2 linked regions of the Mus musculus genome follow. The protein of the gene in region 2 purifies or fractionates together with the protein of the main gene of each other region. This does not show direct contact. Links are inferred from orthologs where the notes say so. Each region holds a gene or a part of one and is shown on either strand. Other genes may lie near its edges. The genes, in order: Hnrnph2 and Plod1.

The links.
Region 1: the proteins of Plod1 (region 2) and Hnrnph2 purify together in Homo sapiens (affinity purification with mass spectrometry; 3 studies listed by BioGRID and IntAct, counting the BioPlex papers as one, with this or other methods). This does not show direct contact. The link is inferred for Mus musculus from reciprocal best matches to the Homo sapiens genes PLOD1 and HNRNPH2.

What each region holds. Positions count from the first base shown.
Region 1 is NC_000086.7:134,604,179-134,607,560, reverse strand, and holds the end of Hnrnph2 (heterogeneous nuclear ribonucleoprotein H2), read right to left. Parts: intron 2,707-3,382; 5' UTR 2,654-2,706; coding exon 1,304-2,653; 3' UTR 501-1,303; downstream 1-500. UniProt on the Homo sapiens protein: This protein is a component of the heterogeneous nuclear ribonucleoprotein (hnRNP) complexes which provide the substrate for the processing events that pre-mRNAs undergo before becoming functional, translatable mRNAs in the cytoplasm. Binds poly(RG).
Region 2 is NC_000070.6:147,916,700-147,925,530, forward strand, and holds part of Plod1 (procollagen-lysine,2-oxoglutarate 5-dioxygenase 1 precursor), read right to left. Parts: coding exon 8,818-8,831; intron 6,547-8,817; coding exon 6,425-6,546; intron 4,804-6,424; coding exon 4,699-4,803; intron 4,434-4,698; coding exon 4,308-4,433; intron 3,612-4,307; coding exon 3,470-3,611; intron 2,195-3,469; coding exon 2,081-2,194; intron 1,501-2,080; coding exon 1,435-1,500; intron 711-1,434; coding exon 606-710; intron 1-605. UniProt on the Homo sapiens protein: Part of a complex composed of PLOD1, P3H3 and P3H4 that catalyzes hydroxylation of lysine residues in collagen alpha chains and is required for normal assembly and cross-linkling of collagen fibrils.

The sequences.
Region 1 (3,382 bases), on a different chromosome or scaffold from region 2:
GTAACAACCCAGCCATGGTCACCCACAAAGTGTGACCCAGTAAGATCAGTGTGATTATAACCCCAGTGCAGTGTACAGCAGTGGCAGATCACTGGGACTTCCTGGCTGCCAGCCTAGTTGCAGGCTCAGTGAAAGACCCCATTACCACCAAGACAATAAGGCAGGGCATTTAGAAAAGGAGATCCAATATTGTTCTCTACCCTCTAGCAACACACAATCAAAATTTAGGCTATGAATATAGCTCTGTTGGTACAGTTCATGTCTTGTATGCAAGCAGCCCTGGGTTTGTTCTCCAGCACTGCATAAACTGGACAGTGACGTATGACTGCAATTCTAATCCTTAGGAAGTAGAGGCAGGAGGATCAAAACTTGAGTCATTCATAGCCTGGAATATTTGAGAAAAAAATTAAAATTTCAACAGCAGAGAACTTTAAAAGCCAGTTACTGTGTGTCCATATAATAGAACATGATTTTAAAAAAGAAAATCAAACTATGCAAGATTTTTCCAGTTTTTAAAAGGAAGATTTATTTAACAAGTTTCACTTAGTACAATACATCTAAATGGAATTCACAATACAAGGTAAGGTTTAAATCAAAGCCCCAGAATTCCATACAAATAACATGACCAAACTCCTAATGTATTGGTATCACATCTCAAAATTGTTCCGGATCTTTAAAAAAAAAAGTGAAAGTGTACACTCACGTGCCTTACAGGATATTAAACCAAAAAGCTAGAATTAACAAACATGCCAAATGTTGTCACTTTGAATCATAGACACAGCTCCTATATATATTTTTTTTTACAGAAAAGCATGTTTTTCAACATGCATCTGAAGTTTTCGATGTATTGTGGTATAAGAGCAACATTTAACGTAAGTGAAACTGCTTTAAACCTAAATATGCTTGCTGCTTAAGTACACTCCTACAACATAACTAACTTGAGGAAAGCTCAAAGGGGAGTTGACAGTTATGGTCAATACTGAACTTGTTATTACATCCTAGATGAATATTTTCAGTGTTCAAAATTGCTGAGCTTAAAGTTTGAAAACAATCTTAACTTTCACTTTACAGTAAGCATGAATCACAAGCTTGTAATGCGAAACTGTTAAAACTTAAATTTTTGTTCTTTTTTTTAAAAAAAAAAAAAGGAAAAAGAAGAAAGAAGCTGACCAATAGTGATCAGAAGCAGTTGTACTTCCCATTTACCAATCATACTGGATATAAAGACACCCTCCCTACTCTATCCAGTTCCTATAAAGATAGCTTTTATTCATGTAGATGTTATTGGATGGTCCCTTGCTTCCTAAGCAAGGTTTGACTGATAGTCACTTGAGTTTTCCTGAAGAACTTGGTCATATCCACTCATACTGCTCTGACCACCATAACCCCCTCCATAGCCACCACTCAGCTGCTGGCTGGCCGGACCTCCATAACTAGACTGGTTGGATAAACCCATCCCTCCCATCATCTGGCTACCGTAAGCACCACCACTTGCCCCTGCTGTAGAATTCAAAAAGAGCTCTACATAGCTATGATCATAAGCTCCTCCACTTGTCCCTGCGGTAGAATTCAAGAAGAGCTCCACATATCTGTGTTGCATATTTGCTTTATCTTTTGCCATAGCTGCCACAGCGTCTTCATGAGTAGCAAACTCAACATCTGCCTCACCAGTAACTCTTCCATCAGGTCCTATTTCAATGTGCACTCTCATGGGATTAAGAGGTGAGAAAAAATTGTAAATATCATTCTCGGTGGCTCTGTATGGTAACCCCCTCATATGTACACAGTGCCCCGTGGTGCTCTGGAAACTGGACCCACCATCTCCATATCTATGATCAGACATTCCTGAGAAACAGTAGTTTAGGTCTCTTCCAAATCTATCAGACCCAAAACCATACCCGTCATTATAACCTCCATAGTCATCATAGCCTCCATACCCTCCACCATAGGCACCCCGCCTCATTCTTTCAAACCCGGCTCCTCTGCCAATGCTATTATACCCTCTTCCAGCCCCTGGCCTATCGTAAGGACCCGGGCGCTGCATAGTCATGAGCTTTCTAGGTGGATCATAGTGGGTTCGGACTTCAGCTCGGCTACTCTTGAAGATTTCGATGTACCTATGCCCTATTCTTTCCTTGTGTTTCTTTAAGGCCTTCTCAGCTATCTCCTGTGAAGCAAACTGCACAAAAGCTTCCCCTGTGCTCCGCCCCTGAAAGTCCACTGGCAGTGTCATCCCATTTGGCACAATTTCCAACCCTGAAAAGAACTGAACAATTTCTTCCTTGCTACAGCCAAATGGGAGTCCTCTGAGTCGTACAAAACCATCATTGGCAGTATCAGGACTATTTGGACCTGTATGCTTTAACACCCAATCCATTTCAACACTGTTGGATTTGAATACTTCAACATATCTGTGTCCCATGGTTTCTCTGTCTTTCTTTAAAGCCAATTTCACTTCATCTTCAGATTCAAGTTCGACAAATGCTTCACCACTCGGTCTGCCTTCTCTGGTGTAGATGAAACGAACACCTGATGTGCCATTTTGGATTTTGCAATCAGAGAAGAAGCGCATCACTTCCTCGGCTGAGCAGGACCAGGGTAGGCCCCTGACCTTCACCACGAACCCCTCCCTGCCCTCTGTGCTCAGCATCATGGTGACTGATGGACTCTTGGTGGCAAGCTTGGCTCAATGCAAATTCAATGTGGCTTTAAAAAAATTAGAAAACTATTGTCATGAAAAAGTGTATATAATATAGTAAGAGAAACAAAGAAAACTATTATTTTACAAGTTCACATCAGTAAGTTTTTCAAAGGAGCCATATGAGCAAAGACTGCATAAAACTTTTAATCCATTCACTTAGCGAGTGCTTATACCATTTCTCTTATGTATCAGGTCTAATTAACAGTGGTTATTTCTGGGTAACAGTACTATAGGAATTTTTTTTTGTTTCCATGGATACTTTTTTCCTTTAGATAATTTCGAATATTCTAAATTTTCTGCACTGAGCCAATGTATTAACATCACAGAGAGAAAATTAAAACTAAATATAACAATGTACAACTATATCCCATTATAGAAAAATGAAAATATTCTTTAAATCAAAAGACAAACAAAACTCATGAGACAATACAACAAATCCATTAAATAGCCTAAAAATATAAAGAATGAATACAAGTCAATAAAATACAGAAGTACTAAAGCCTAAGAGATAAATGGAAGACATTAATATACATTTAAACAAGTTTTAGGAGCCAGCTTCAGTCCACAGTTCTGCCACGGACGAATCACAGTTCTATAGGAGAACTATGTGTCCTCAACAAAGTGCAGATACATAGACTACATAGAAGGCACGTTCATAGAAGGATTGGTTGATTACGTGTA
Region 2 (8,831 bases):
TAGGACAACCTTCACCATGCCACTTGCATCAGTTGTCTGATGAACGTGGACCTGGTACCCAATACCCTTTGTACCTCATTGGCTCATTTCATTCCATTTTCAAATGCTTGCCCAAGGCAAGAAGCTGAAGTATTCAACAAACAAGCCAGGAAATTAAAAACTTTGAACCTCACTTTAAGCTCAAAGCCACACAACCAGCAATGTCTGCTTGGGAACTTCCACACCCCCTTCCTTCCTTCCTTTCTTCCTTCCTTCCTTCCTCCCTCCCTCCCTCCCTCCCTCTCGCTCTCTTTTTTTTTTAAAGATTTTATTATATGTAAGTACACTGTAGCTGTCTTTAGACACACAAGAGGGCATCTGATCCCATTACAGATGGTTGTGAGCCACCATGTGGTTGCTGGGAATTGAACTCAGGCCCTTCAGAAGAGCAGTCAGTGCTCTTAACTGCTGAGCCATCTCTCCAGCCCCACACCCTGTTTCCAAGCCTTGTGCTCTTGCCTGTCTGCACCCTGAAAGTAAAGAGCCCTGGACAGACTGGCTAGGTAACCAGGAGAAGAACCTAGAAGGGCAGTCTCCTGCAGCCTCCCAGGTGTCTGAGGCATTACCTTATTATCACCCAGAGACCACTGGCCATAGTGTTCCATCTCCTCCACCAGCTCATCACAGGCCGCCTCCGTGAAGATGGGGAACCAGTAGACATCCGGACAAGGCTGGGAAGAGTGAAGAGTCTATCATCGGAGTCCAGAATGACAGCACCATGTCCCCCTAAACACGTGGGAACCCCTGCGGGGCTCCTCATGAGTCTCCCCCCCAGCCCACTCCTTGATCCTCGGGGAACACTCTGAGTGACCCAGAGGAGTAACGGCTCAGTGGATGCTGTTAGATTGATTGAGAGGCTGAAGAAAGACAGAGACCAGACAGACTTTCCAGCCAAGGTTACAGCCGCTGCTACCAGTATCAGCCTGGGGAGTGTGTGCACCTTGCAGAGACTACTGGTGTGAGTGAGAAGAGAGAGCCCCATCCCTCACTCTTGCCTCGGAGGCTCTGTTTGGGGACAGTCCTTCTGCCTCCATTCCATCTGTATTGGCTAGTTTTATGTGTCAACTTGACACAAGCTGGAGTTATCACAGAGAAAGGAGACTCCCTTGAGGAAATGCCTCCATGATATGCAGCTGTAAGGCATTTTCTCAGTTAGTAATCAAGGGTGGGAGGGCCCATTGTGGGTGGTGTCAAAGTATCTACGGACCTCAGCTGGAAAGCGCTGCTGGGAGAGAGGCCCATCCACCCAGGCACTGTCGGAGCAGACAGACAGGCAGGCAGGCAGACAGACATGCAGACAGACAGACGGCTCCCCCGCTGCACAATACACACACACATTGAATCTCCACCCTCATGTACTCCCACAGCAGCATGTGTGGGCTATGAACCCCCTACCGTCTCCACCAGCTTCCCCGCCAGGGCCTTGGTGTAATTCTCATGGATGTACTTTTCTTTCCAGTCCTGTAGAGAACACGACACAGACTGGGTTCCCAGGCCTGCCCTGGGTCAGCTGTGGCCACCTCAAGTGTAACGGCACCGGTGGCTCCTAAAGCGTCTCCAGCTTTCAGGCTCCTCGAAATGTGAGCAGGTATGGCCTCGTCAGAGGCCAACTACACTGCCTGCTGGGTGTGGGAGTGCTGCCGGGATACACAGGATCTCACATCTGCACTTATGCGTACGTGTGTGCTTCTGTGTCTGTGTATAGGCATGTACAGGTGCCCATGTCAGCCACACACCCCATCATTTGTGTGTACTGTCACACACTGTCACAACTACTGCTTCCTCTGATCAAGGCAACACCCTCAGGAGTAAGCCAAGCCAGGGAAGACCCATCTTAGAACCAAAATAAGGATGACCAAAGGGCTCAATTAAGTCATAGCTCCCTGCTCCACTAGGTGGCAATGTGTCCCTCTATACTAGAATAAAGCCCTGGAGGTGAGTGGGGACTCGTGGAGAACAGGTCATGCAGTCTCCAGTTGACAAGATCTGCCAACCGGAGTCTCTCTGAGTTCCAGCCCTCGTCCAACCAGCCAGGTCTTACCTCAGGGTTGCTGAACACCTCCCAGAGATCATTATGTAGGTGGGTGGTCTGGTAGTTATCCAGGGAAAGCAGGTGGCCAAAGGTGTGCCGGTTGGTCAGGAACATGAACACCTCCTATAGAGTTGATAGATAGAAAAGCTTCCTCACTCTGCACACCCTAGAGGGTGAGGGGCGGGGCATGCAGTGCCCACAGCCAGATTCAACCAGATTAAAGACCTGTGAGTACAGTATGTGCTCCCAGCACCCGTCACATCCCCACCCCAGGGATGCAATCAGAGAAGGCTTCCTGGAGGACTGAAGAGACGAGAAAAGGTTTCTCTCCCCCTTCCTCCTTTTCTTGTTTGCCACGCTGGGGATTGAGCCCAGAGCCTCGAGCCTACAGGGCAAGAACGCTCCCAAGGGCTGTGATCCTGACATGCTGATCACAGGGGAAAAACCTAACCAAGCCGTTACATCAAAGCAATGAGCCAGGACTGACGAGGATAAAAGTCTGACAGACCCAAGTGGAATCCTTGGGACCTGTGTCAAGGCAAAAGGCGAAAACCAGCTCCATGAAGTTTCCTCATCTCTACATGCACGCCATGGGATATGTGCACCACACTGCCCCCTCTCTGACTAACACACAGACACGGACAGATAGACAGACAGATACATAGACAGACAGACACACACTCACTCTCACACACACAGACAGACACAGACAGACAGACACACATGCACACACACTCTCACTCACACAAAGACACAGACAGACACACAGACAGACACATACACACTCACAGACACACAGACACAGACAGACACACATACACACTCTCATTCATACACACATAGACACAGACATAGACACACACAGACACACACACACACACACACACCAAAAACAAAAGCCGAGCGGTGGTGGCACACGCCTTTAATCCCAGCACTCGGGAGGCAGAGGCACAAGGATTTCTGAGTTCCAGGACAGCCTGGTCTACAGAGTGAGTTCCAGGACAGCCAGGGCTACACAGAGAAACCCTGTCTTGAAAGACAAAAAACAAAAAGAAAAGCAAAAAAGAAAAAACAAAAAACAAAAGAAAAGCAAAAAACAAAAAACAAAACAAAAAAAAGAGATATGCGGCGAGATATGACGACACATAAATGTCTCTTGGACATAACTACCAGACTACATCGAGGCGGGAAGTTCGATTTTCTTTAGGCTCTATCAAAATAATAAATAAACTGGGTGTGGTGGCACATGTCTGTAATCCCAGAACCTGGGAGACTGAGGCAGGAGGACCAGCCTCACCCCAGAGCCCTCAGAAGCTCCTTCCTACAGTGACAAGATGGCTGGAGGACCACACTCCTGGCACAAGTACAAGCCCCACCCCGGCCCCAAGCCCCACTGACCTGCTGTCGGACATTGGCGCAGAAACTCATGTCGGAATCCAGCTTGCTGTAGTGGAAAAGGTCTACGTTCTGCAGTTCAGCCCGCAGGGCACTGCCCTTGATCAGGTAGATGTTTGAGATGTAAGGCACGTTCCAGACGCCACTGAGAGAGAGGAAGGAGATGACAGGATCACAGGCTCGCTGAGGGCTCAAAGCCTGGGAGCCCAGAGCCTGGAAGAAAAGGCTGTATCAAATTATAGATAAACTCGGTGTGCTGGCACACATATGTAATCTCAGAACCTGAGAGACTGAGGCAGGAGAATCAAGAGTTGAGTCTATTGAACCTGAGTCAGTGTTTGGGGGGGTATTCATTTGGTGGATATTCATTTTCTTTTTATATGTTTTTATTTTGTGTACATACATGTGGCTATGCATGTATAAGCTACAAGACATGGGTGGAGCTCAGAGGACAACTTTTGGGAACTGGTTCCCTCCTCCCACCGTGTGGGGCTCGGAGACCAAACTCACATTGTCACGTTTGGCAAAAAGTGCCCTAACTCACTGAGCCAGCCATCTTGCCAGACCTAATCGGACTTTTTTCTTTTGTTTCGGTACTGGGGACGGAACACGGGGGGGGGTGGGGGGGGGCTTGCAAACGTTCTATTACTGAGTTAAATCCTAAACTCAACAGTGCTGATCTCCCCCTCCCACCCTGGGCATGGGAGCCCACGACAACTTTCAGGAATCCTTCTGTGTGTCTGACTCTAGTCCTCTTTCCTTGAGGTTCAGCTCACCCAGAGCAGTCATGCAGGGGAGGGGCACCACAAACCCAGAAAAGATGAAAGCACTGGATACTCACACACGACGGCCCTGCACAATGTCCACGTAGTCCTCTGAGCGGGCGTAGTACCCATCTGCACTCAGACCCCCCCAGAAGTTGGACCAGAGCCTCCCGTGGCGGGTCATGAGTGGCGCAATGACATTCCTGAGTAGGGGGTACAGGCAGACCAGACTAAGGATGGGGAAGGGGAGGAGCCCAGCAACCAGTGATTTGCATACCGGGATCTCTCGGGTAGGGGAGGCCTGGCTCATCAGAAACAGCCCATCCCTCCTGTGCTGGGGACAGACCCAGGAAGGTGCCATTCTATCAACCTTTGAAGTTGTCAGGCTGGGAGCCCCAAGGAGTAGAAAGTCAAGGGGCCTCTCCCAGCCTGAGTAGGCTTTGCTCAGGAGGCCACCCACGGTCTTACTTGTTTTGTTCAATCAGGAGCCTTAGGCTGTTCGGCTCCGTCAGAGCCACATCAGCATCCACACTGAAGTAGTAGGTGCAAGTTTGGTCCTGACGGCACAGGTCTCTGTGAGAGGAAAAAAGGGGAAGGGGAGAGGCAGGGAGATGTTGGTCCCAGAGCTCCCTCAGAAGATGACACATCTGTCCGCATAGCTTGGCTTTATGGTGTACTGGGAAAAGGGAAAAGGGCCGTAGGACTCACGGGAACTCATGAGCAGGCTGGGACCTCAAGGTCCCCCTCCCAACTCTGACAGGCATCCGAGCTCTCAGATTAAAGACTTGGAAATGACAAAGGCTTCATCTGGAGGAAGCAACAGCCCACCAGACGGGGCTCAACGGTGGGTGCCTGTCTTGAGAGCAATTGAGCAACTAGCAGCAATGGAAAGTGGGGTCCCCAGCAGCGGCAGAGCACTTCCTTGGTATGTGTGAGGTCCTGGGCTTATTTCTAGAACCCCACATTTAAAAAAAAAAAAAAGGCATGTCGCTGGGTATGATAGTACACACCTGTAAATAACAGCACTTGGGGCAGGAGAATCTGAAGTTTAAGGGCAGCCTTGGCTCTACGGTGAGTTCAAGGCCAGACTGAGCTATATGAGACCCTGCCTCAAAAATGCCAAAAACCTTCCTGAAAAGCTCCCTTTTGTTCAACTAGTCCAGGGCTCAGAAAGCAATGGTCCTTGGTCTGAGGCTTCCCACCTCCAAGTTCGTTTCACCCAGAATGGTTTTCTGTTTCTAAATGACTAGGAGAGGGGGTAAAAAAAAAAAAATCAAAAGAAAATTACCCCTTCCTGTGAGGAAGTCAAATTTCAGTGTCCCTAAATAAAATCTTTCTGGAACACAATCTTACTCATTCATTACACATCGGTGGCCATCTTTACGCTACGCGGGCAGACAGCTCAACAAGGGTGAGGAAGTCCACCAAGCTGGCCGGCAGAGCTGATTTCCATCCAGCACTTTACAGGACGTTCGAAGGAAGTCTGCCGGCCCCAGACTGAGACAGAGGAAGCTTCTTTTTTTTCTTTTTTGAAACAGCACGGAGTTCCAACTGGCCTTAAGCCAGCTTTAGAAGTGAGGATGACCTTTGACTCCTGACCCTCCTGCCTGAGAGTTCAGGTGTGTGCTACCATGGCCAATTTATGTGGTGCTGAGGATCAAACAGTGTCACCACGGACGCTAGGCAATCACGCTACCAACTGAGCTACGTCACTAAACCTACACCAATGGATTCTTGTGTCTTCATCTCTGTTCGGTTTCATTTACTTTTTTAATTATTATTTAGCGTGTGAGTTCACCACAGCATGCTTATGAAGGTCAGAGGACAACGTTATGAAGTCGGGGCTATTCTCCGATTGCCATGTGGGCGGGCTCAGGAGGTAAACACGTTTACTGAGTCACTGTAGGTCTAATAATAAAACGAACCATGAGAGACTGTTTCTCTGTCACTCCTGATCTACTTCTGACCCTCCAGCCTTTCCTCTTGCTCCAATTTGCTTCCTGAACCCACATGACACTGTCTGGGGGTCCCCACGTTGCTACTTCCTCATTTCACAGAGGAGAGCCCCGAAACCCAGACAGGGTCAGGACTATGTTGGAGCCCACAGAGCCTTGTGAATTCCCAGCCTGCTGCTCCCAACGCCATGGCCCATCCGCCCACCACCACGAATGGAGAGAACCCATGAGTGACTCACGCGCCCATGTTCCTGGCGTCGGCGTTGGCCATGCGCACCTCAGGACCCACTAGCTTCACAGACTGGTACTCACTGCCGTGCTCCGCCAGGAACTGCTCTACCTGAAGTTTGTGGTGCCGTTCCTGGGGTGGTGAGGAGGCAAGGGGCAGATGGAGACGCAGCACCCCCGTCACTAGCCAGAGAATGCTGTCTCTGACACACTCCTGCCATCTGCATCTCTGTCAGAGCGTCCTTCTCTGGCGATCCTTTCATGCTCATCTACCCCGCCCAGGCCCTGCCCCACTGGCCTCTTCACAGCTCCATCATCAGGACAGTCCCTCTTCCCAAAGACCCCACATCCAGAAACTCTGATGATCTCTGGGGTGTCATGTTAACCAGTGTACCAGGGGATCTGTATGCATATCTGACAGTCTGTACCTGGGGCCCCTATCCTGGGGACATGGGGAGAACAGGATTTTTAGTCCTAAACCTAAGTAGGGGTGCCTAACCTATTGACACTGTGGTATGACATCATCATCTACACATGCCATCCTGGGTTGCGTGTCCCACTGCCTTTCTGTCTGTAGGGGCTTGATGTACATTGGAAGTCGGGCAGGGAGCCAAGCTGCGTGGGAGACTGTGGGTCCCTGGTATCAGGCATCTTGCTACAACTGGAAGATACAGGAGAGACACAGACAAGGCATCTGAGCGGACCTCAGAGAGGACAAAGGGCCCCATAGACTAAATAAGACGTGGCCAGTCAAAGACACATCAAAGCAGAGGCGAGAAGAGGCTTTACCCAGCCAGAAGAGTGCTGAGCCACCAGGCCTGCTCTCCACAGAGCTCAGGGCTCAGGACTTGCACCTACGTCCCCTGTCCCCTGAAGCTGCTAAAGCAACGGCAACCCAACTTGACTGTCATCAAAGCAAACCCAGAAGCACAAAGCAGGCAGCAAACAAAAAGTGACAACAGTCAATGAATGAGCTCAGCCCCCATAGGCTCATGTGTTTGAATAGCTGGTCCTGGGTTGGTGGAACTGTTTGGGAAGGATTAGGAGGCATGGCCTTGTTGGAGGAGGTGTGTTTCAGGGGCAGGGGCAGGGGCAGGGGCAGGGGCAGGGGCAGGCTTTGAGATTTCAGAGGCTTTCTGCCCTCCCTACAACTCTCTCACACTGCCCTGCTGCTCACAGCTGTACATGTGCACTCTCGGCTCTTCCAGGCTTTTGTTCCACTACCGTGGACTCCAACCTTCTGGAATCATAAGCCCAATCCATTTATGATTTATCTCATAAGTTGCCTTGGTCATGGTGTTTTGTCACAGCAACAAACAGGTGACTAAGACCCAAGGTTACCCACTACACACTTCCTGTGAATGAATGGCAGCCTTCCCCGACCCCCTTACTATTATGGGTAAAACCTAGGGGCTCCGGACTGGAGAGACTTGACTATTCATCCATTAAGAGTACTTGCTGAGCTGAGAGCGGTGGTGCACACCTTTAGTCCCAGCACTCAGGAGGCAGAAGCAGGTGGATCTCTGAGTTTAAAGCCAGCCTGGTCTACAGAGTGAGTTCCAGGACAGCCAGGGCTACATTAAAAAACCCTGTCTCAGAATAGATAGGTAGGTAGGTAGGTAGGTAGGTAGGTAGGTAGGTAGGTAGGTAGGTAGGTAGGTAGGTAGATAGATAGATAGATAGATAGATAGATAGATAGATAGATAGATAGATAGATAGATAGATAGATAGATAAATGTGTGCTTGCTGCTTTCCCAGAAGACCCGCGCTTGGTCCTCAGCACCCACATCAGATGGTTCACAACTACCTACAACTCCAGCTTCAGGGAGTCTAGCACCCTCATCTGGCCTCCACGGGCGCCTCTCTCACGTGTACACGCGCACACACATACACATAATTTTAAAAGTCAAAATATTTAGAACCCACACACTAGGCAAGTAGCTATGTTACCTACCCCTTTATAAAACTTTTTTTTTCTTTTTTTTAAATGGGAGAGGGCTAAGCTCACTATGTAGCCCAGGGCTGGCTTTGAACTTACAAACCTCACATCTCAGCCTTCTCAGTAGCTAGCCAGCTCCTCCTGACCCCCTTACTCTTCTGTGCACTTCAGAGGGTAACCTGTTTTTAATATCCGCAGCAATTCTATGTGGTTACCACAATTCTGACCTCAATTTAACAAAGGAGAAGAAAGAAGGAGAGAGTTTAAGGTTGATGCCCCAGGTCACACAACCAAGGAAAGCTATATTGCCAGGCTACAAGCCCAGTCCGCCTGACCTAGTGATTTAGGGACACAGCCTGCTGCCCACTTCCACTCGGCCCAGACTCACTGAGATCCTCAGAGGTCTTACGCCAGCTCACAGGGCTGGGCCCTCGAGCGGAGCCCCCCAGGGTAGCTCCCACTCACCTGGTTGTGAATGA